2 linked regions of the Notamacropus eugenii genome follow. The protein of the gene in region 2 interacts with the protein of the main gene of each other region in a pairwise test. Links are inferred from orthologs where the notes say so. Each region holds a gene or a part of one and is shown on either strand. Other genes may lie near its edges.

What was found.
Region 1: the proteins of MIA2 (region 2) and TTC23L interact in binary tests that used the Homo sapiens proteins (3 or more experiments, as listed by UniProt). The two-hybrid records come from large-scale screens. The link is inferred for Notamacropus eugenii from reciprocal best matches to the Homo sapiens genes MIA2 and TTC23L.

What each region holds. Positions count from the first base shown.
Region 1 is NC_092875.1:426,594,294-426,606,404, forward strand, and holds the start of TTC23L (tetratricopeptide repeat protein 23-like), read right to left. Parts: upstream 4,817-12,111; 5' UTR 4,589-4,816; intron 4,017-4,588; exon of another isoform or gene 3,887-4,016; intron 868-3,886; 5' UTR 750-867; coding exon 715-749; intron 1-714. Other genes in the region: RAI14 (ankycorbin), read right to left, coding at 10,429-10,506, 11,252-11,317.
Region 2 is NC_092872.1:331,982,021-331,994,160, reverse strand, and holds the start of MIA2 (melanoma inhibitory activity protein 2), read right to left. Parts: upstream 5,043-12,140; 5' UTR 4,859-5,042; coding exon 4,744-4,858; intron 1,721-4,743; coding exon 1,587-1,720; intron 1-1,586. UniProt on the Homo sapiens protein: Plays a role in the transport of cargos that are too large to fit into COPII-coated vesicles and require specific mechanisms to be incorporated into membrane-bound carriers and exported from the endoplasmic reticulum.

The sequences.
Region 1 (12,111 bases), on a different chromosome or scaffold from region 2:
GTAGCTCTGGAAATGGTTGAATGATCAGAGCCAAGGAGTCATTTAAAGTTTGTCAGCTTGGAGGAAGGTCTCTAATGGTCCAAAGAATCTTCTCATGGCCTTATTTTGTTTAACTAGGTTCTTAGAGGACAATCAGTACATAGTCAAACATCTGGCCCTCAGGCCACTTGCAGCCTATGACACTCCTGAGTGTGTGTCAAAACAGATTAAAATGTAATTAGTAAATATTTAAACAAAACAAATAAAAATACAAAAAAGCATAAATATTAATATTAGCACTTTTCTAAGTCAATATGCAATCTGTACAGTTTAGCGGCCCCATTTCTATTTGAGCTTTGTCACCATTGATCTAGTCTATACTCCCTTATCCCCTCAATTTATAGATGAGGGAACTAAGACTCCAAGGGGATTGAAGTGATTTGTCCAAAGGTCACATAGGTAGCAAGAATCAGAAGTCACCTTTGATCCCAGGGCCTCCTGACTCCAGAGTCAGTATTCTTCCCATTGTACTATGCTGGCTCAGGATATAAATAGTGCGAAGAAAATTTGATTCTTCCATTGTAGTTTTCACTTGAGTCACAAATTCCAGACACCTGGACCAAAACTTTAATGCTTTGCTGGTGCCAGTGGGGGTTCATTAGGTAGAATAAAGATACAGAAGAGCTACAGATATTATATAATACATCTATTACTGTTTTTAAAAAAAACTCTCACCAAAGATTCTTCATGATTGGGAGGTCCCATTCCATGTCTCCTGAATTACTGCAGGCTACAAAGTTCAGTTCTGCTTACTTGCAGAAACAGGAGTTCCAGGTTGTGTTGCTGACCTCAGTAGGGATATTGATAGGACAAGATTTCATCTTCTTTCTACAGAGAAGCACAACTGACTAAAATAAAGTTCTGGTTATGAGATGTGCAGGAGCTTCCTCTTTTCTCTTGCCATTGATTGTAGATCGATTATCAGTTAAATGAGAGATTTCATAAAAAACACAGTGCAGCTCCACACAGAGAGTTTTATATATATACAGACACATATGTATATATATACACACACACGTATATATAAATATGTATATGCATATATGTATGTACATATGTATGTATGTATATGGATATATAACATTATCATTATATAAAACTATGTAATTGCATATATTGCCATAGCTATATATCCTATATAACTATAACTATGTGACTACCATTATATAATACATAAATATAATTATGACTATAGACCTATAATTATATACATACATTTTTTCATGGTTACTTCTTTTGGGAGGGCACAAAATTAAAAAGGCCAATAGCACAATTTTTAAATTAAAACTAAATTTCCCATTTTGAATTAATATCCTATCATGATTTTTGCCTTATTCATAGCCACCCCAGTTCATATTGCTTTCTGTTTTAAAGCCCAGCACACTTACAGCTCATGAATCAACCAGCCATTTCACTCGCTGATGTTAGGACTGTGGGAGGAAAGACTATATAAAATTGAAATAGATAAATATAAGGCTATTATAAAATTGAAATAGTTAAATATGACCATTCTTCATTTTTTCTGTGGCTAACTATCCAGTTGAACAGGGAGAAGAACTACAAACTCAAAAGGACTTGAGGTCATTTTCCTCTGAGTCAGAAAGAAATAGAGTGACTTGGCCAGGGTCATATAGAGATAGCAGTTAGAACTTCATCGTCTTTATTTCACTAGTAGATGAGAAACGTTAATGGAAGTGAAACTCATCAGTCTATTTTCCCATTTGTTAGAAACTCTGCTGGATACAATTCAAATGCATGGCTAAAAATAAGGTTTGAACACTGCTCTGTAAAGAGGTGGATGTGGGATGTGGCATCTACCCTGTCAGATTTAGTCACTGTGTCTACTTTGGCTTATTTAGTGGGACTGAGCAAGGGAAACTGGGCACATGTATTCTAGTCTCTCTTTGGGACCTGTGCTTCATTGAAATGACACAACTCCTGACTGGTTGCCAGATACAGGGATGGCATCGAAGATAACTGGTTTCAGAGTCAGGAGGAGCTATGTGTGTGGTAAGCTACAGGAGGAACCAAGAAGAAACACTTCTTTTTCAGGACTCACTCTTCCAGTTGCTGAAAGGTAGGAGAAATCATGACAATAAAAACATGTTTGCTAGGTGACCACCTTCCCCCTTTTTGTAGTCTCCCCTAATACAAGCAGGTGACCAACAAATTTGAGAAATGGATGTTTCTGTCCCTGGTGGCCAGAGATTATTTCCCCAATAGCAGTACATTCATAAGGAAAAGCACACCAAGAATGCTACCGGTAAAAGCAACTAAGAAAGCCCAAGTTTGTGCAGGAAATCTGGACTGGGCAATAGTTGCTCAAAGAGCACAGGCATGAGATGAAAATGAAATATCCATTTCTTTAGTCTCACAGTCATTTTTACCTTTTAGGAGACTCACACATATGCATGATGGGTAATACTGTTTTATATTTTTGTGATTTGTTGATGTGCCTGATGAGGTTTCTGTGTTTTAAGCTATCTCAATGATAGAAGAAATAAAATGCTTGATGTCCACATTGGGCTTTTTAGAAGGTTCCTATTACCTGCTTTTTGTGAACATGAGCAGTATACTTAAATTTGGTTTCATAGATTTCTCCATAGTTATTGTTGGGTGGGGGGCAATGAATCATAAAGACAGAGAGTTACCTCTGGATGAACTGAGACAATGTGAAATACAGAGGAAGCCCTTTGTGGGGAAAGGATTCTTCTGGTCACATTTAAATATTTTTCTTTGTGACAAGAGAGCGAGGTGAGGGGAGGAGAATTGGTTAAAATAGGTGTTAAAAGGCACTAAAACCAAATATGAGATTTCAGTATAATTATTTGAGTTTACATATCAAATTAAGTTCCGCATAGCACTTTTCTCAGTTAAATCTAAGGTGGGGGGAGTAGTACAAGTATTGTTATTCCCATTTGGTGGATGAAGAAACTGAGGCTCTGTGAGGATAAATGCTTCCCTTTCCCATGTCCAACAGCTAGAAAATGTCCAAAGCAGAATTTGAACCTAGGTCTCCTGACTCCAGGTCCAATGTACATTCCACTGTGCCATGCTGTCTTCTAAACAAAACATTGACGAATCCTGACCATTCAGATGAAGTCAATCACAGATCCTTGAGGAACACAACATTCAAGGACATCTGGTTAATAATCTGTGATTTCTTCCCTATGTGTGGGATAAAGTCATCTATATAGTTTGTACTTTTAGAGAGTTGCCTAAGGATACCTGATGAAGTGACTTACCTAAGATCATAATGTGTCAGAAGTAGAATTTGAACCCAAATTTCCAAGTCCAGCATCCTATCCACTATCCAAAACCATATTGCCTCTCTTTTCCCCACATAACCTCAGAGAATGTTAAATCTGGCCTGTTTATCACTCATTATAATTTAGTGTCAAGACTGGGTTTGAGTTGCAGAGCTTTGTGGACAAGTGACCAAGGGCAAGTCATTCAGTCTCTTTGAGTCTTGGTTTTGTAATCGGTAAAAGGGGGATGATAACCTCACAGTTGTTGTAATTTGTGAGTCTTAATGAAATACATAAATGTGAGCTGTTATAATTATTCATTATTTTATTATACTATAATAATTATCATCTTGAACTAATAACCCATTCAAGTTCTCATGGAGGTTAAAGATGACCGTGGGCTCTGCTACTGGATATGCTGGGGGTGAGAAGGAGAAATGGAGAGAGAGAGAGAGAGAGACAGAGACAGAGAGACAGAGACAGAGAGACAGAGACAGAGACAGAGAGACAGAGACAGAGACAGAGAGACAGTGAGACAGAGAGAGAGAGAGACTTCAAGAAGGAACCCAGAGATGAAGATGTGTCAAACAGGAACCAACCTTTCTGCCCCAGGGTCCACCAGGTTGGATGCTAGGTGATGAATGTATTGACCACAACAACTCCTGAAGACCATCCACTAAGTTATAAAGTGGCTCCAGCCCGCAGATGGCTGTGAGAGGTGAACTCACCCTGAGGAAATTTTAAGTATTGGGGTATATATAAGTAATTCTAATAGAACTAGAAGCAATAATAACTCTCATAAGCCATATGCTGGGAGAGGGCAGCACAGGGTAGTGGACGGTGGAGTGAAACGTGCAGGCTGGACGAGGAGTCAGCAACACCTCGGTCCACTTTCTGCCTTCTAACGCTTCCCAGCGGTGTCAGTTCCCTCGCCGGTAACATGGTGATAAACATAGTGCCTGTAGTACCTACCCCATAGTCCTGTTGTGAGTTATGAGGTGTTGTGTGTTTAACAAGAGGCTTTATAGCACTACAGAAACGTCAGTTATGATGATGGTCTCTTCTATGCTGCGTGGTGAAATCATAAATGACCTTGGAAAGCCCTCCAGGAAACCACATGTTGGGGAGGAAGGGAGGTGGCGAGGGGTTCAGTCTCGTTTTTCTTTCCCTAAAGTTGCTTTATTCCTCAATTCTGGGCCCGCAGGGGCTTCTCCCAGGGTGTGGGGACCGGGGCCGTCCCTTGCCCGGGAGGCACTGAACCCCTTTCCTGACCGTCTCCAGGGTCGGGGGGCACTGATTACCTGAGAAAGAGAGTGGAAACACACAATCAAAAATTCTCCTTCCCGGCTCCAATGGTGCGGAGAGGTGGGAGCAGGGGAGAAGCCGCTTGCTTAGGGGGCAGCCTGGTTTCCCGTGGGAATGTCAGGGCGCTTTGCCAGCAGGAGAGCGCATCCTCCGTCGGGAGAGCCGAGGGGCACTAGGGACCCTTCTCCTCCGCCTGAGAGAGGCAGGCGGGGGAGCCAGACAATGGGGGTTACCAAGGCAACAGAACGCCGCGGCCGCTGCGGCGGGCATCCTTGGTGCTGAGCGAACACCGAACGCAGCCTTGGCGGTTGCCGCGGCAACCGAACGAAGGGATGCCCCGTGCGCTGGGAGCTCGAGCTGGCAGGAGAAGGAGGAGACGGCGGGGAGCGATGGGCACGGTGCCCGCCGCAGGAGGGGATGAGGGCGCGCCCCGCTTCCCACCCTTTCCTGTTCCTTGACCGCTTCTCTGGGTGGGGTGAGGGCATGACCGGAGCACAGATCATCCTTCCCCTAGGAAAGCCTGCTCACTCTTTCCACATCCCCAGATCTGCTCCAAAAAAAGCCCCTGTGTGCGAGCAAGAAGAGGGGGACCCACGTGCATGGGGAGAGTATAGGAGCGAGCCAAGTAGGCGCGCCTGATTTGAGGGACCGCTCCCTATCCGCCCTTAGCAATCTGCATTCAATCCAGTCTTAATCGAAGCTCTAGGTTCTCCCTTCCGAGCCCAGAAAAAATAGCACCAGTTCAGACAGGTCTGGGGTACTGCCATCCCTTCACAGTGGCGTTTGCATTGTAAAGGATGACTGCTCACGTTTGTTTGGAGAACTGCTTCTCATGCACTATTTCATTTGATTTTTTAACCAGAATTTGTGAGATCAGTGGTACAAGTATTATTCCGAGTTTACAGAGGAAAGTTAAAAAGCTGCCCAAGGTCACACAGCCAGTCCTGTGGTTAAACAGCTCTTTCCATACCGCCAAAGGCCGTCTTGAGGAGGGAGTGATTTAACACAAAGGAATGTATTGCTAATGGGGGAAATTTCGGGGGAAGATGGCTAAAGAAGTCCAGGAAAGGAGTATTTTTTCCCCTCGCTCAAATCCCATTTTCATAGCAGGCACAGCCTTCACTATTCGGGAAAAGGTAGGTCTGGTCCAGAGTAACCTATGCAAGAGTAATAATTACAGCCAGTCAATAAACATTTATTAAATGATTACTGTGTGCCAAACACTGTGCTAAGTGCTGGAAATAAATATGCAAAATGGTGTCCTCCCTCAAGAGACTTACAGTCTAATGGGGAAAGACAACGCACCAGTCCTAGAAGGAATTGCTGGGTTAGTTGATGAGGTGGTCACACATCCGAAATGGACAACATCAGGTTCCTTGGCCTTGTGGTGTGTGGCTAGCTCTACAAATTGATTTGATGCTCTGCATTAACTTCTCTGGGCACTGTGTTCTTTATCTGTAAAAACGAAGAGGGTTATAATTCATCCCATTTCCAGATTTGGAGTGTTTTATACTTTTGAGTCATGTCAGCCAACTGCCCTTCAGCCTAAGTGATTAAGTAGTCCTTCAAATAAAACTTGATTCCAATGGTAGAGTTAAATGATGGGCTCTCAAGGCACCAAGCAAAGGAGAGCCCACCTCCTCGATCTTCCTCCATTCAACAAGGAAGAAATACATCTTCAACACCTTTGCAATCCCCAGGGGTCATTTGGACAATATTTAATGTTTAGGGATTATGGAAGGCAGCTATTCGGGTAGGGCTGAGTCCTCTTCTCTAATACTTATTTTTCTTTAACCTTCAACAATCCAAGTAATCAATCTGCAAGCATTAGAAGCTGTGTCAGGTTATTTAGAGATGATGCCTTTCCAGGAAAAAAGAGGGATTTAAAAAATGTCTGTACTTTTGCATTTGGAAGTATGGGGGAAGAAATTGTCTTTGTTATATGGTATACGGTTATACAAATTGTCTTTGTGATACAGTAAATGGGAAGGGGGGAGTAAGGAGTGGGATGGGGTGGTAAGAGGGTAGGTAATCATCTCAATCCCCACAGGACCAGAGTGCTGGGTCATTGACTTGAGGATGCAGGCAGCAGGGTGAAGAGTAGTTATCTGTGCCAGCTGGCACTAAAAAGATGAGTCTATTAGATACTTGGGATTGACTTTAACTTGATTTCACCTGGATAAAAAAATGTATTGGGATGGGGTAGGGTTATTCTGCTATGGATATATTTGGTCCTGGCACTAATGGTTTTTTTGTTGTTCAGTAGTTTCAATTGTATCTGACTCTTCATGACCCCATTTGGGATTTTCTTGGCAAAGATACTGCAGTGGTTTGCCACAGGCAAACTGGGTTATGTGCCTTGCCCAGGGACCCACAGTTAGTGTCTGAAACTAGATTTGAATTCAGGAAGATGAATCTCACTGACTCCAGACTTGGTACCTTACCCATTGCTCCACCTAGCTGCCCACACTAATAGCCACATAATTATATTAAAAGGGAAGTAAGGTTTCTAGGTCCCAGGTAGCTTTAGGTTTGGGAGGTCACTATTATGTGTTCCCTTAAAATGTTCATAAGAGACCTAATTGGGTCACCCTAAAGAAAATGCTGAGTTATTAATAAAGTAACCCTTCTAATAATATATGCAACCTGGGAGTAAGAAGGGAAGAAAACTGTACATACAACAGAAACATAGAAGTTTGGCTTAGTCATCATATTGCTTCATGCCTTTGGACACATCTTTGAGCTTCTTTTTCTGTGAAAGGTGGAGGGAGATCGTTATCCCTACGCTGTGACGCACTGAATATAGGCAGTTATTTACAAAGAGAAGCACATGGTCACTAATTCTGGTCTTGTTTTCTCATCGTCCTCCTTCTTAAGCTTCATGGAAGTCAATAGAAAGAATACTGGACTTGGAATGGGTCATATGGGTTTGAGTAATCTGTTCCTCAGATGAAGGCATACATGGCATACTCACCAAAACTGCAGATGAACAAAGAATAGTTAGTTAACCCACTGGATAGCAGATTTAAGATCCAAGAAGCTCTTGACAGGTTAGAGTATTAAGATTAATCTAATGAAATGAGGTAATAAGGGATAAATGAAAAATCTTATATTTGGGTATGAAAAATCAAATGACAAGATAAGGGCAGTATATAGAGATATCTAGGTCTCTATAGGTAGCAGTTCTGAAAAATATCTGGGGTTTTCGGTGGACTGCAAGTTTGAGATGAATTAGCAATGTGATGAGGGATCGTCACCCTTGGGTGGGTAGGCTTTATACATTGTGACATTGACCCATGAGTAAGATCCAACCCTACCCCGGCCCCTCCGTTTTGTGTTTGTGAGAAAGAGCCAGTATCATAGAAATACCCCAGCATGAATGAGTTGTGATGTTTTTCATATATCATTACGTTACTACTGAGGGAATCTTGTAGTCACTCAAGTTCACAACCGTGGTGTCACCCTTAACTCCTCACTCACCCCGAATGTCACAATCACTTGTCAGATCTTGTCTGGAGCATCTTTACTCATGAAGCCATCACTGTAGTTCAGGCCCTTATCACCTCTCATTTGGAATACTGCAACAGCCTCCTAACTGGCCCCCTCCCCCATTCCTCTATACCTCCCTCCAAACTTCCTGTTCTTTGGGCTAATTATACTCACATCCACGATGGATTTAATTGACTTTAGCCACACAGCAGCTCAGAACTCCCGAGCTCGTGATCCAATAGCTCCCCAGCAGCAGGGATTAGGCAGGTGGGAGCTACCATACTGGCAGATAAGTATTTTTCGTTTGATAACTCCTTCTAATGGATATAGCTAAAATAGGATGGCTTCTCCCTCAAAGAGTATTAACAGCTAAATACAACATTTCTTCCCAAACTGTGTAAGTGGTGAATAAGGACATTAAAAACTGGACAGAGATGAAAACGATGGAAACAAAGTTTATTTTCTGCATAAACTCCTGTAAATTACAAAGACAAAAATGCTAGACTATAGTGTATAACTTTTCAATATTTAACCAGGATACTTGTAATAAATACGCATAATGAAACAAAGTAAAAGACTAAAATTGTCAGGAAACCTATAAAATGTCTCAAGTTTTAGATTCTGCAGCATTTGTGTGCTGAAATATTTTGTGTGTGTGTGTTCTCTTAAGTGCTGACCCCCCAAAAAAGTCCTTTCACATTTCTTTGGAGCTTTTTCAAAATTATCAAATTACAGTTAATTAAACAACTGAAGTAACACCAAGACCTATATTATTTGACAGGAAGTTTTAAAGCCATTTTGCTTTGCCAGTGTTTAGAGAGCATGTGCTCTAGACAGCACTGAATTCAGGAAGCCTTGAGCCACACTGTCCATTCAGTCAAAGCAGACACAGCTTCTGGGTGAAACACCTCAAAGATTTTTTTTTAAATATTTGTATACCTCAGTAAGAACAAGGCCATAAGTGAAGCTACAAGCAATTTAGACAAGTTTTAACTTCTAAGTATGGCACAGGAATAGAAAAGTATTTCTTCCTTAGATATTTGCTATGCATTATGAGGGCTGGACCATATCAGGGTTTTACCAATTTTCAATGACTGGTATTAGCCATGCTCCCAATGTTTGGAAAAGTAAACACAGTTATGATGTCCTGACACTTAGCCAAAAGAGCAAGGCGGATGTTCATCAGGAATGCTTGACAGCTCCAAGAGCACAAACAGATGGCCAAACCTCCTTCCTAGTATCTGCTGGGACTTTGTGATGAGCTGAGAGTATTTCTAGTACATTTTGCTACAGCTGAAAACTTTTACCCAAAGACATTTTAAGTCTAAATCATGGTTATCTAAAATATTGTGTTAACATAGTGTAATGCAAATTTTATGTAGTAAATGGCTTAGGTACCAAAAATCTGTAATGGCCAATAAAAATATAATGGAGAAAAAACATCTTTACAAAAGTGAGGTTAGGAACTACGAGGCATTTCTTTTAGTTGTAAACGAACTGTTTACTGTAACCCCTTGTTGAAAAACATGGACTTGGATTTCCTGAGCTTTATGGACAACACTAGTAGTAGGCAAGCTTGCATAGGTTGTTTGCAATGTGTCATTTAAAGGTTTTTTGTTTTCTGAAATCTTTAAAATCAACTCATTTATGTTTTTAACCTATATATTTTAGTTAATCCTATTCATCCAATTGCTGGACTGAACAGCACAGCTCTAAGAGATGAAAGGTAGGAGAAGGGAAAAAAAAATGGTTGGGAACTAAGTATGTACTCCATCCAGAGGACATGATGAGGGGGTTTTGTAGTGTACCTTGTAACCAGTGCCAGGGTTAATTTGGTTAGCAATTAAATCATGTTAAAGGTTAATGTCAGCCTAAAATCTTGAGTGCTTCTAACTAAAAGTAGGGGTGGAGGGCAGCCATGGGAAAAGGAGTTGCAACAGCATTCACCACAAGATTTGCAACAGCTGGGATTGACTAACACCAAGACCTGTGGGGGTTTGCAGGTCACCACCATCCAACGGACCATCTCAGTGGAGTCCCTTAGTCGCACAGACCCAAACCAGGTGTGTCATCAGCTAGCACCAAGATCTGGACTTAACAACCTCAGCTCATCACAAGGCTAGTACTTTAGGTCTTAAAGTCAACAGACGATTCTGAAGAATGGAAGGTCTTCCCTTGGGGACAGTCCTCAGAAGTCCTTGTGTAGGGAAGAAGCTTGAGAGGGCAGCTATGTGAACTCACAGTGCATACAAACAGATGAGAAAAATGGCAGTGGCTGCCAACCTTAACTCCTGCTTTAAGGCAAATATGGCAAATGTGAGGGGTTGGCACTGAGTCCCAGAGTCTCTCACTTCTTTTGTGATTGGTTTTTACACATGGTGAGGATTTGCTTCAGTACTTTCTGGACATCTTCATCCATCTGGCCCTAGGAAATTCAGATAAAAATACAATCAATATAACAGAGAACACATTTGAACAAATATAGACCATAACATCCCCATTACTTGTGGTGAACCATCTGACAATCATGAAGCCCTTTACCCAGAAACTCTTCTATCCCCTCAGTAGGGAAAGGGTCAGCCCTACTGTACAGGTCTGGATATTTCACTTCCAGAGGAAATTACAACAGAGGTCAAGTGACTTTTCTCTCAGGTATTCAGTGACCTAAGGCTGCCACTGGCCAATGTTATCAAATCTAATTAGTTACCACATTGAAGTCTTAGCCCCAGGCAAGTAAGTCATTACTCCAAATGAGGACAACAAGGATAGGATTCAGTGGAAAAACTCATCACCACCAATGGAAACACTAAAAAACCACATGTTCTGTGGAATATACATCAACAGTACCATCTGACTATACAAAGGAGAGCAAATTATTAAAATACTTCCAGGGAATTCTGCCTCTCAATTTCCCACTTAGTCTTTGAAGAAAGGAGCTGAGAGGGAAGGACACAATTTCTTCCAGTAGACAAAAGTCAATTAAAAAAAAACCCTTTAATATTTTAAATTAAAGAAGCCCCTGCTTTTTGCCCTCCTATGTCAGTGCTCGTATCTGTTGTTGGTGTTTTTTGTTAAGTCTGCTTCTTTGGATGACTTAGCTAATGGGACAACTTTAAAAAAATTTTTTTTGGTTAAGAGAGAGGGGAGATATTTCTGTAGATTGACTGTACCTGTACAGCATACAGAAGATGCATTCTGTAAACTGAGACAATCTCCTGGTGTTGTTTCTTGGACTCCTGGAATTTAAAAAGATTAGTATGAAAAGGAGTTCTTAGTCATTAGGAACACCTAATAAAAAGTTGGGTCACAGTGATGTCTGTGTCCCTCAGATAAAGGAGGATGCCATGCTAATATGTGAGGTTTCTGGCTTTTAGTCTTTACAAGGCCAATTATAATTCCAGAGACATGAGAATAATTTTAGGAAAGTCTTACCATTTAATATCCTAATATGGCAGATTATCCAAATGCTCAGAAAAGCTATGATTCCATTGGTTTGGAAGGGGTGAGGCCTGCCAACACTCTAACAAAGCAGGTTAACAAACTACCTGTGACTTTGTACGTAAGTCTTAGTGACATGCCTGAGACATAGAGAGTAGTGAAGTGACTTTCATGGGCTCACCCAGCTAGTATATGTCAGGTGAAATGGGAACTCAAGTATTTAGGACTCCAACCCTCACTCTCCAGCTACTATATAATTCTGCCTCTACATCTCCTTATTACTATTATATGAACTACAACAATAACTGATGTTCACATATCACTTTACAGTTTACACACGTGTGTGTATATATATATGTGTGTGCATGCATATTTATGTATACATGTGTACATGTACAAGTGTATGTGTGTCTATGCATGCACACACACACACAGGTACAGTAGATAGGCCACTGGGCCTGGAATCAGGAAGACCTAAGTTCAAATCTAGCCTCAGACATCTACTAGCTGTGTGACTCTGGGCAAGTCACCCAATACCTATGTGCCTCAGTTGCTCATCTTTAAAATGGGGATACACTGGAGAAGGACATGG
Region 2 (12,140 bases):
AAAGACCTGAGTTCAAATTCTGACTCAGACATTTACTAGCTATGATCCTAGATAAATCACTTAACCTGTGTCTACTTCAATTTCCTCATCTGCACAATGGAGATAATAAATAGCCACTACTTTCAAGGGTTGTTGTGAGGGATAAGTGAGGATAATATTTGTTAAAGTTCTTTGTAAACTTTAGTCATATACAAGTGGCAAGGTATTGTTATTATTAGTCAAGCTTATTTTAAATGTAACACTAGATATTTCTAGTCTCTTCCAAATCCCTCCATCCCTTCAAGCAAAAAAGTGGGGGTAGGGTGTGGGAGTAGGAAGCAAAATTTAGAGTCTTGAACCAGTGTTCACACCATCAGCAATCCAACAGGGAATCTCTGATGAGCTCTGAGTTCAAGTTTAAAGATTCTCCTTGAGAGAGTTATCAGATCATGATGAAACTAAACTGTTAACTCAGTAGCTCAAAGCAAGATGTTTTAACTTCCCATGCCAGAAATACAGGATCCCTAGCATAGATAATCTATGAAATACAAAACAAAAAACCCTTAGGGTTACCCTGTACACACTAGGATCTCAAGTAACCACATGTCTGAAAAAAAGAAAGGTACAAATTCTTTTATAAAACAATCAGACTTACACAGGCAAGCAAGGATACCCTGCTCAGTTAGGAATGACTGAAGAATGCTTTAGATGAAGAATGATTTCTACCTCTCAGCAGAAAGGCACTACGCCAGAGATCTGGAATGAAGGTTGATGCCTATGTGCTGATATGCTTTGACTGACTTTACTTATTAGAAGGAAGAGGGTAGAATCAGTAGGAAATGATAGTGATTTTTTTTTTAAATCATCACATGATTTTTTTTTTTCTGGAAACTGCAAATATTGAAGCAAGGAGATGGAATCAAGACAAGAAAAGCAGCCAAAACCTTCCAGTGTGTAAATCAGATGTTCACACTGAGCAAAGTGATATATTGTCCTTGAGATGAACAGGCAGAGTTTCAGTTTTAAACAGTGGCCATGATTGCTAACACTATACATGTTCAGTGAGGAAAACACGTATCTTTAGCTAGTCTGTCATACTTATACAATTTGGTAACAAGATGATTAGTCATAACATTTCTTAACTGAGAGACAATGATACCGTTACACAAACTTATTTCCCACTGAAAGCATTAATCATTAATTTATTCATGTTAATGACTCAGGAAAGTAATCTGAAACAATGAAGCTTTTGTGATACTCAATCTACCTGGACTTTGGGCCAAATAGAAGTTGTTTTCCCTATGAAAAATACGCTTCTTTCTTTCCCAGGCAATGATTCTTTCACTAGAAGTCTTCTATAGTAACATGTCCATTCTCTTTTGACAGAAAGCACATCTTTGAATCTAATGAATACTTTCATTCTTTCCCATAAGTGACCAATTCTGTTCAGATTTTCAGATGTGTTTAAAGGCTTTAATATCTACAAAGTGCTTTCATAACTTCAGATGAAAGCTCTTTTAGAAATACAAAATATATTTTACTTATCTTAATCCCATCCTAGATATCCAAATGTTGTTTCTGAATTCAGTGTTAAATAAGATACTTACACTTCCTGCCCACAAATCTTCTCTTTCTCCTGAAAGTTTGGCGTAAACAGATATCTCTTCTCCCGTTTTGAAGCTCAAGTATTGGCAGTCAGATCCTTCATAATCTCTTATGGCCACGGCTCTGCTTATTAAAGCTATGTAAATATTTAAAGAAAATACACATTTTAAACACTAATATTTAAAAATGTTCTATCTCTAGTCTCTTCTCCCTTCAAACCATCCTTCATATCACAAGTCAGATTAATTTTCTTCCTTTTTGTCTTTCATTTTTCTTTTCTGGAATCAATTGGAGTTAAGTGACTTGCCCAGCATCACACAGTTTGTAAGTTTCTGGGGCCAGATTTGAACTGATATCCCATCCTATCTCTAGGGCAGGTGTCCTATCTACTGCACTACCTAACTGCTCCCAAATTCATTTTCAAAATACCAATTTCATCAAACAATTCCCCTATTTAAAAATCTCCAATGGTTCCCTACTGCATATCCAACTTTTTCCTCTCATGTCTATCCAATAATCTTTTTAATGTCCTCTGAACACACCATGTGCATTACTAGTTCGTGTAACTGCGATATTCTCCCTGCCTGTGCCAAGACTTCAAAAGTTAGATGATAAAAACTGTTTTTCATCTCCTGATAGAAGATTGGTTGGTAGACCCAAGGTATAGGATAAGGATGTGGATATGGTGATTTTAATGATTTATTTTGCTTGATGGTGCTTAGTTTTTACAAAGATTATGTTTTTCCAATTTTTATTTGTAGGGAAAGGAGACAGGAGTTGCAAAAAAAGAAAGAGAAGAAACAAAAGAGGTCATTGAACCATCTTAAAAAATGCTCAGACAGAAATATAAAAAAGTTTAGAGGGAAATAGACAAAACAGCTTTGAAAGAAACATGCTGAATTTATCATATAACTTTTTAAAAAATATTCTGTATAAAATTTGTTACATAATTTCAGTTATAATTAATTTTTGCATTTTACTTTCTATGTGTAAGGTGTTGGGGTTCTTTTTGGTGTTTGGTAAATTCAGAATAATAAAATTAAGTAGTGTTTGTATAATGGAAAAAGTTCTGGATTTGGATTTAAACAGCTGGAGTTAAAATACAATCTCTACTAAATTTTTGGCCTTCAGCAAGTCACTTAATCCCATTTGCATCTCAAGTTCCATATCTATAAAATGAGAGGATTGGACTGATCTGTATGGTCCCTTCTGGCTCAAAATCTGAACATCCATCATGATATGGAAAGATTTAGAGTCAGAAGAACCCATTTAGAAAATCTAGCTGTATGAAGTTGAGCAAATTTCTCCTTTTGTGGGAAATTTCCTCACTCTTAAAATGAAGGAGTTTGACTAGATAAATTTCAAGGGGTTTCCAATAATTCTGACAAATCCTACTAAAAGTCCTTTGGGGTTCAGCTAAGTCCTTGCTCAGCTACTCTACTACAAATCAATTGTTCTCTATATTTATGATCTTAATGTTTCATTACTCATATTGTAGTATCAATTATTTAATAGGTGTTAGGTCTTGCTCTCTAATCTATATAAGTAAGTTGAAGGCAAGAAATGTGTTTTACATTTCTTTCCTATTCCCCTCAGCTCACAAGAGAACTTAAAATAAAATCTGTTGAATGAGTAATTTACCAAATGCCTAAGATTAATTCCTTTAATACAAACATAATGTATGGTATGTGTATATATTGTAATCATTAAAATAATTTCATACTTAGAGTAGTGATGTTCCTCAGTGAAAAACTGATTTAATAAGACCACTAATTAAATTTAAATATCACATAAAGTTACACAAATTGGAATGTCTTCTTTATTGTTGATCAAAATCAGAGGTTTCAAACACAAGGCCCGTGGGCTACTCCCAAATTTGGCCCAAACTAGATTAAAATGGAATTGGGAAATACTTAAGAAAATAAAGAAAAATTTGATAGAATGAATAAGTGGGAAAAATTCAATAGAATTAACATGTGGTCGATATGCAGCCAGAGGATTCTTACATATAATTTAGTGGTCCTGTTTATATTTGAATTTGATATCTATCACTGGTCTGAACTATGACTCTATAGATATGAAAATGTGAGAAAAATAGAGATTTGAGACAGGAAATTAATTACAAATGAGCAGTTGACTGATAAATCTTGTTCCTCACTTTAGTTTACTTTTCAGAAAAAGGATTCAGAAAAGTACTTTTTCAAAAGTTTAGAAATAAAGGTTACATAAAAGACAGACGATAATTACTTATTTGAAGCCATTCTAATCTATTAGGCTACAATTATACCACATAATATTAGGAGACCTGGGTTCAAGAGAACACTTCAGATTATGTTGATCATGGGCAGTTTATTTCATCACTCAGAATATTAGGTCCCAGGTCTGTAAAATGGGGAAAGTAACAACTATTACACCTCAAAGAGCTGTGAGCATGGAACAATAAATGTAAATAGAGTATTTTGCAAATTGTAGGGCATGATACTGTCAGCTTAAAAGTAGATGCAATAACCAAAATATTTTGTGTAGTAGATTTAAAAAGAAAATCTAACTTGCATTGCTCATATACATAAACAAAATCATGAGAGAAGTCTTTGATATTGGCTAAAGGTTTGCATAAGGAATACATGAAAAATTAATCATGAATCCCTGAGGGTCTGGGATGCTAAAATTTGTACATACACACACACACACACACACACACACACACACACACACACACCAGTATAAGTCATGGTGGCTTAAATATATTTTTTAAATTGTTGGAGAAATAATGATACTCAGAACATAGTTGAAAAATTAAAATAAAATTTTTGTTATATAAATCAGCAAGAATGTCTTTATGTACTCCAGTAAACAAAATGAATAAGTGGGAAAATAAAATGGTAAATAAACAAGTACATTTTAAAATGCTAACAAATTTGATTGTGATAACTGGTAAGACCTCTGTGTCATCTGAATTTATACCAAACTTTGACCCTTTGACCATTTCTGTGAGGTAATGCCACAGAACACTTCTTTTCTAATATTTTTCACAGGCAATCTACAAAGCTAATCTTTACAACTTCATTTTTTTCCCAATGGTATACCAATATTTATACCAAATATTTCCATTTTAATATTTATGCGATGTACTTACGTTGCTATTTTCCATATACTTACTTTCACATTCCACATCTCCGCAGTTTTTAAACTCTGCCAGCAGTTTTGTACTCTCCGAGCTCTTTATCAAGGAAATTACTAGAAGAAAAATTCTGTAGACTCCAAACTGTCCCATGACAAAAACAGAAAGTAGGAATTCAAAAAACAGTCAAAATGTACCATTCACACGAGAATACTGCCTCCTAAACAAGAGAGGCATTTTTTTCACTTGCTATAACAAAAAGGTTTTAAAAGCCTTTGGCAGATATATTTCCTTTCTGTTTGCCAGTTGAGCTTACTGGATAAATGCTCTCTTTCTCAATCTGCATTGACAGCTATTTATATAACACACTAGTATTTAATTATTAACAGATTTGTTTACTTTGACTAATATTTTTATAAAGGCAGCCCATATAAATCTACCTCATTTAAAGTTACACTGCTTTCAGCATGGATTTCTTGGAATGCATAGCAACACAACCTCTTCCTGTTAGTCTTCAGAAAAGTCAATCAATGAATATTAATTGATTACTTACATGTGTATAATGCTGCTTTCAGTTGTAGGCTGGATGTATAGAGTCAGTAATAACTTGTCTAAAGAAAATGATCCATTTTTCTGACTATCATGGGGAAAGCTGTTAAAAATATAATTATAAGAAGTAATTTTTAAATTATATTGGAAGGTATATTTATTCCTACTTAATCTAAACAAAAAAACCACTCAGACTTTAATTTCATACAATAGTAGCTAAAACATGGCAAGTAAAAAGTTTGAAAAACATTCAATCTGTGGGACTAAATAGAAGTAAAGTGTCATGTTTCAATATCTGGGAAATGTTTTAAAAGGATCTCTTTTCTTGCAAGATTTCAATACATTTGCTTAGGTTCTAACATACGAAATCAGTTTGTGGGATATCTCCATTAGTGTCTGAGAGAAGAATCTCATAAAGTCACAGTTCCCTCTAGTGTCTAAAGCAGAACAAAACACCACCACAAAAATGACAAATACAGAATTACAAAAGTTAGATAAGTTTTGTTTGGGGTTAAAAAGTTTTCATGCCAAAGTTATCTTATTACATATACAATCTCCAGTGCCATCAAAGGACCAATTCCTGACAAAGAGAAATAAATAACCCCAAACACCATCTACAAGTCCTTCCACCCTTGCTAAGCAAGGAGCCTGTAGGTTAAGTCAGAAGCTTTTCAGGATATGCAGTAAACAAAAAAGGACCTATGTCTTAAACAGGCAACCTGCGTTTCTCCCCACAATGAAAAGGTAAACAGCTTGATTGTGAATTCTCAGAACTGTAGTCCTGGAAAGAAAAAATTCTATTTTCCAAACTTGGGAAAGACCATTACAGGCTCTGAGCTGGGGCTAGCAGGGCTGCCATTTCAGGGGCTTTTTGACTGATTTGCAACAGAAAGAAGAGTGGCATGGAAATGAAAGAGGGAAATTAGACTCTTTGCACTGTGGGTTTGACATTAGTAGCAGCTCCTGAGGAAACAACTGTTGGTAGCTAACTTACAGAGTGGATTTGGATCCCTGGACTTGGAGTTAGGAAGACTTGATCTCAAATTCAGCCTCGGATACTAGCTGAACGACACTGGGCAAGTCATTAAACCTCTCTGAGCCCCAGTTTCTCCATCTGTAAAAGGGGATAAAAATAGCACCTACCTCACAGTTCTGGAAAGATCAAACAAATGGTATCATTAAGGCACTTTGCAAACCTTAGAACTCTATATAAATGCTAGCCTTTTCATTATTTTTACTATTACATACCAGGAAACTAAGCAGTAGAGTGGATAGAGAGCTGGGCCTAGAGTGAGAACAGACCTGAGTTCAAATAGTCTCAGACACTTCTTAGCTGTGTGACCCTGAGCAAGTCACATAATTTGATTTTCTTGACTGTGAAATGAGGATAATGATAGCACCTACTTCCCAGGTAATATTTGGTGAATATTTGGTGAGGTAATATTTGTGAAGTGCTTAACCCACTACCTGGCACACAGTAGATGCTAAATAAATGTTTATTGGTTGATGGTTCTTTAAGTGTAAATATAACTCCTGATTTAATTAGAATCTTTGAAGACATCTTGTCCTTTACATAAAACTATTATCAATCATAGCCATTTTGTGACACATAACAGGGGGAAGGAGAGGGAAGGAGAGGGAAATGGAGGAAGCCAGTGTCTAGTGTGGCATATACAGGAAAAGAAAATAAGTCAAGGGATTAAAACCCTCTCCAGATTCCCAGGATTTAATCTTGACCTGGTTGATTGAAAGACAATCCTATGGTTTTGGTTATTAATCACTTTAAGTGTCTAAATGATAGAGAAAGATTATTCAAGTCATTTCAGGCCTAGTGTGTGGTTTAAAACTCATGTGTCTCTGGGGAAAACTCCAGTTTTCCATGGAATAGCAGTGTGGACTACTTAAAGATATCCCTGTGGGAAAAGAAAGGCTAAATCGTGTTTCACAGTGAAACCAACAGGTTCTAAGTAGGAACTAGTCTGGAATAACTTATTTTCCACTTGGAATTTTAGATAATATTGATAATAATAATAATGGTTAATATTTATGCAACACTTTAAGATTTGCAAAGCACTTTACAAATTGTTGACAAGTGAAACCAGTTTGGCTAGTATGACCAAATACCCCTAAAATGCAAGTATGCAAAAGCTAATAAACCTAGAACCTGGGCATTATTGCAAAGTGTTACTGCATCCTGGTTACATATCCTTGTTGTTAGAGCAAAGTAAACCTTCTTTGGTTAGCTATTCAGTGATTGTGAGTGTCTCATTTTGTCCCAATATCTAACATGAAATATTTATTAACAAAAAAATATTTATTTTGGCTCTTTTTATAGCTTCCCTAAACTGGACATTGAGGTCTACCATTACGGAATGGATAAATAAATTATGGTATGTGAATTTAATGGAATGTTATTGTATTATTCCAAGTGACAAAATGTACAGTTTTAGAGGAAAACAGAAGACCACTATGAACAGATGTAAAGTGAACAGAACTAGGACAGTTTACATAATAATGACATTATAAAAAAAACAACATTAAATGACTTTAGAATTCTGATCATTGCAATGATAAACCAACATGCCAGAGAATTACAGATGAAGCACACTCCTACCAGAGAAGTAATGGACATAAAATGTGGAATGAAATACACACTTTTTAAACATGACCAGTGTGGGAATTTGTTTTGCTGGACCATGCATATTTATATGAGGGTTTTATTTCTGAAGTCTGCCTCTTCATCACTTCTTATTTTTATTGTTCCTTGGGGGAAGACAGGGGAATGGGAGAGATATGCAATAAATATCTAAAATAAATATACAAACCAGAACTTAAGGAGGACAGTACCAGGACTAGCCATATGATTTTTAAGTGTAATAAAGGAATATTAACAAATATCAAAAAGGTAAAAATAGTCTAAGCATGAGGTAATGAGGGCTTGCACTAGAATGGTGGAAGTTTCAGAGGAGAGAAGGGGGCATATAGGAGAGATGTTACAGAGGTGAAATAGGTAGGCCTTGGCAGAATCTTAGATATGGGGGTTGAGGATAGGTTGGGAGCCCAAGGGACTGGGAAGATGCTGTTACCCTCTACAGGGTAACAAGTGGAGTATTTAGGGGTAAAGAGAATTAGTTCTGTTTGGGGCATAGTTAGTTTAATATGTCTACTGAACATCCAGTTTGAGATGTCTGAAAGAAATTGAGATGTGAGATTGAAGGTCAGCAGAGGTGTTGGGGCAGGAAAGGTAGATCTGAGAATAATTAGCACAGAGATGGTAATTAAATCTATGATCATTGGTGAGATCACCAAGTGAAGTAGTGTAGGGAGAGAAAAGAAGAGGGCACAGGGCAGGCCCTAAGGAACAGGGTTGTGTTCTGGATGGTGTGTGGTCTGGAAGAGGATCCAACAAAGGAGACTGAGAAGAGGTCAAATAGGAAGGAGAAAAACCAGGAGAGAGCAGTGTCCTGGAAACCTAGAAAAAAAGAGAACATCAAGGAAGAAAGGACAAATCAGCACTTACTATGTGCTAGGCACTGTGCTAAGTAGCACTTAACTTTTTGTATTGTTCTGTATGACCTTAGGTACTTAATCTCTCAGTTTTGAGGTTCTTTCACTGGAGTTTAGCTGTCCTAGTTGGTAAATCAGTAGACCTCCTGGTCCCAGACCATGTTTCCAGCCATATACCTCAGCAATCTTGCCATCCAGCACTGTCAACATTAATCACAGGTTCATATTCGTTTCCTTACCTCCCTCCTCTTTCTCCCTACTAATTGATATGGGAACTATGAATATAAGAGGAAATACAAAAGTCCCTTCCCTCAGAGCTTTTATTCTATTAATCAACCAATCAAAAGACATTTTTTAAAGTACTTACTATTTGCAAAGCATTGTGCTAGTGCTGAGAATAGATACAAGACAAAAAGCAAAAACAGTCCCTGCTCTCAAGGAGCTTACATGGAGTACGTAACATATTAAATAGGTATGTACAAGATACAATGTAGATGGAAAAATAACCTCCAAAGGGAAAGTTGGAAGAACTGGGAAAAGCTTCCTGAAAAAGCTGTATAGTTTGAGCTGAATTTCCCAGGCAGTCAGAGATTCTGAGAGTTGAAGTATGGGAGGGAGAGCATGCCAAGCAGGGGAGACAACCACTGCAAAGGCTCAGACAGGAGATGGAGTGTTGTGTGAGGATGTAGCCTACTAAGGCTAGAAGAAGTGGAAGGGAGTATAAGACTGGAAATGTGAAGAGCTTTAAGTGTGTGTGCCTGGGTTGGTGACATGACCTGACTTACATTTTTACATAAAAGTCATTTTAGTAGTTGTGTGGAGGGACTTGAAGTAGAAAATTCAGTTACATCATTTCAATAGTCAAGGTGACAGGTGGTGAGGACCTGAAGTAGGGTGGTTGCTGTGTGAATCAGGAGAATCTCTAGTATCTGAGAAATGGAAAGAAATAATAAATTGCTTCTGAAAAGGGCATATGAACTGACTCTCTTACAGTTCCACTTCATCAACCCTATAGTTTCCCCAAACAAAATACTTTTCCCTAGCTACCACTCCTCTATATCCACCTGTATATTAGCTCATTCCCTACTACCTACCAGATAATACCAGATACTTCCAACCACACTAAAGATCATCCTGTATTTCTTCTACCCTTTGCAGATAAACTCCTTGAGAAGACCATCCACAATAGGTGCCTTCACTTTCTCTTCTCTTACTCTTGCTTCAGGGATGGGAAACCTGTGGCCTTGAGGTCACATGTGGCCCTCTAGGTCCTCAAGTGCAGTCCCTTGACTGAATCCAAACTTCATAGAACAAATCCCTTTAATAAAAGGACTTGTTCTGTAAAACTTGGACTCAGTCAAAAGGCTAAACCTGAGGACCTAGAAAGTTTAAGGTCACAGGTTCCCTACTTTTGTTACAACCTGGCTTCTGACCTTTTTATTCCACCAAAACTGTTCTCTGCAAAGTTACCAGTGATCTCTTAGTTGTCAGATCCAATGAGTTTTTCTCAAGCCTCATTCTCCTCAACCTCCCTGCAGCCTTTGGCTCTGAGAGCAGGGACTATTCCATTTCCTCTTGTATTTATAGGTAGCTAGCTACCTATCACAGTTCTCATATCAATTAGCATGGTGAAAGAGGGGGGAAGTAAGGAAATTGACATGAAGCTGGGATTAACATGGCAGGGCTAGATGGCAAGATTTTTGGGGTGTATGACTGGAAGCATGGTCGGGGATCAGGAGGTCCACTGATTCACCAACTAGGACAACTAAACTCCAGTGAGAGAGCACCAAAAGTGAGAGATTAAGTACCTAAGGTCATACAGAACAATACAAAAAGTTATTGAGGACTGATAAGGTACTTGGGTGCATGTGCTTGGACCCCAATTCTAAAAAATCACATTTCTCCCTAGCCTCAAAACACTATCCCAGGCAGTTTCTCCCCAGCCCATGGACACAGCTTGCCTCAGCAACAACTGTTATCTCCCTTCCTGATATAGTAGCCAGTTGTACCTATAGAATTTATTAATATGAACCATCTGTGTACTGGTTGAACTGGCTGTGTACTGGGTCATAACAACAGTTACTACTCACTGACCAATCATATGTGTCCCAGACTTAGACATATGCATACTCCCTTACATTTATCTTATCTAATAAGACATTGATGAGAGCAGCCTGGTATTCCTGAGTCAGTCCTGACCATTAGCTGACTCAGGGATGTTTCAGGCCTAAAACCACACCTCCATGTAGCCCCACCTTGGTCTATTTCCTGATGAACTCTGGATAAAATGCCTGCTCAGTAGATACTAAAAGCACATGTTCCTTTAAGAACCAACTATTTAAGAACTAACCATTCCTTAATCCTGCCCTGAATCACCTAGTTAGCCTATTTGGCACGTTTTACTATAGAATATTCTATATAAACTTTACTTGTACCCCTCTGAGGTTGCAGGTTCCCTAAGAACTCTTACCCTGCTGAAAAGCATAATAAATCTTTATCTTGACCTCAAGAATGCTTGAGTCCAGGAACTCATTCCAGGCGACCCTCCCCTGGTACTCCAGTCTTTGAGGGGCAGGGGAGGAGCATGGGGGTTCTCCTCCTCCTCCCCCCCCCTCCAGCCCTTAACAACTACTACTTAGCACAGTGTCTAGCACATATTAAGTGCTTAATAAATGTTTATTGGGTGTTGATTGCCAGGCATTGTACTAAGCACCAAGGATATAAATGAGAAAAGGAGACAGTCCCTACCATCAAGCAGTTTACAATCCAATGGGGGAAGACAACATATACAAGGCTAATCCAAAGTCTACAACTGATGGGAAATGAAGAGTTCCTTTGGTTTCAGAGCCTTTTTTATACATAGGATTTGGGAGGAATTTTTTCCTCTGCCCACCAAGCAGAGAGGCAGAAGCCACTGAGGGTCCTAATAAGATGTGAGTATTAAAGCAGAAGGCATCTCCATGATGATGAGCTTTTCTGGGGAGAGGGAGGGGGTAGAGGCTTGTGTTTGTCATGATCATGGTGGAGTATAATCCAAAGAATGCAACTGAAGAGATGGACATAACCTTCTGGGGATGGGCTCAGAGTTTCTGTTCACCAACAACCATATTATTAAGGAGCAGGCTTCTTAACCTATGACTGATCCCTTTTCATAAATTCCCTATGAGTTTAAAGAGGCAGAAAGTTATACAAGAACTGCTAGTCTTGGGGGGCAGAGCCAAGATGGCAGAGTAGAAGTAGAGACTTGCTAGAGCTTTCCCTCCAAGCCCAGACAAATACCTGTAAAAAATGACTCTAAACAAATTCTGCAGCTGCACAACCCACACAATGATGGAGTGAAGCAAATATCCAGCCCAAAACAGCATGTAAGGTTGACAGG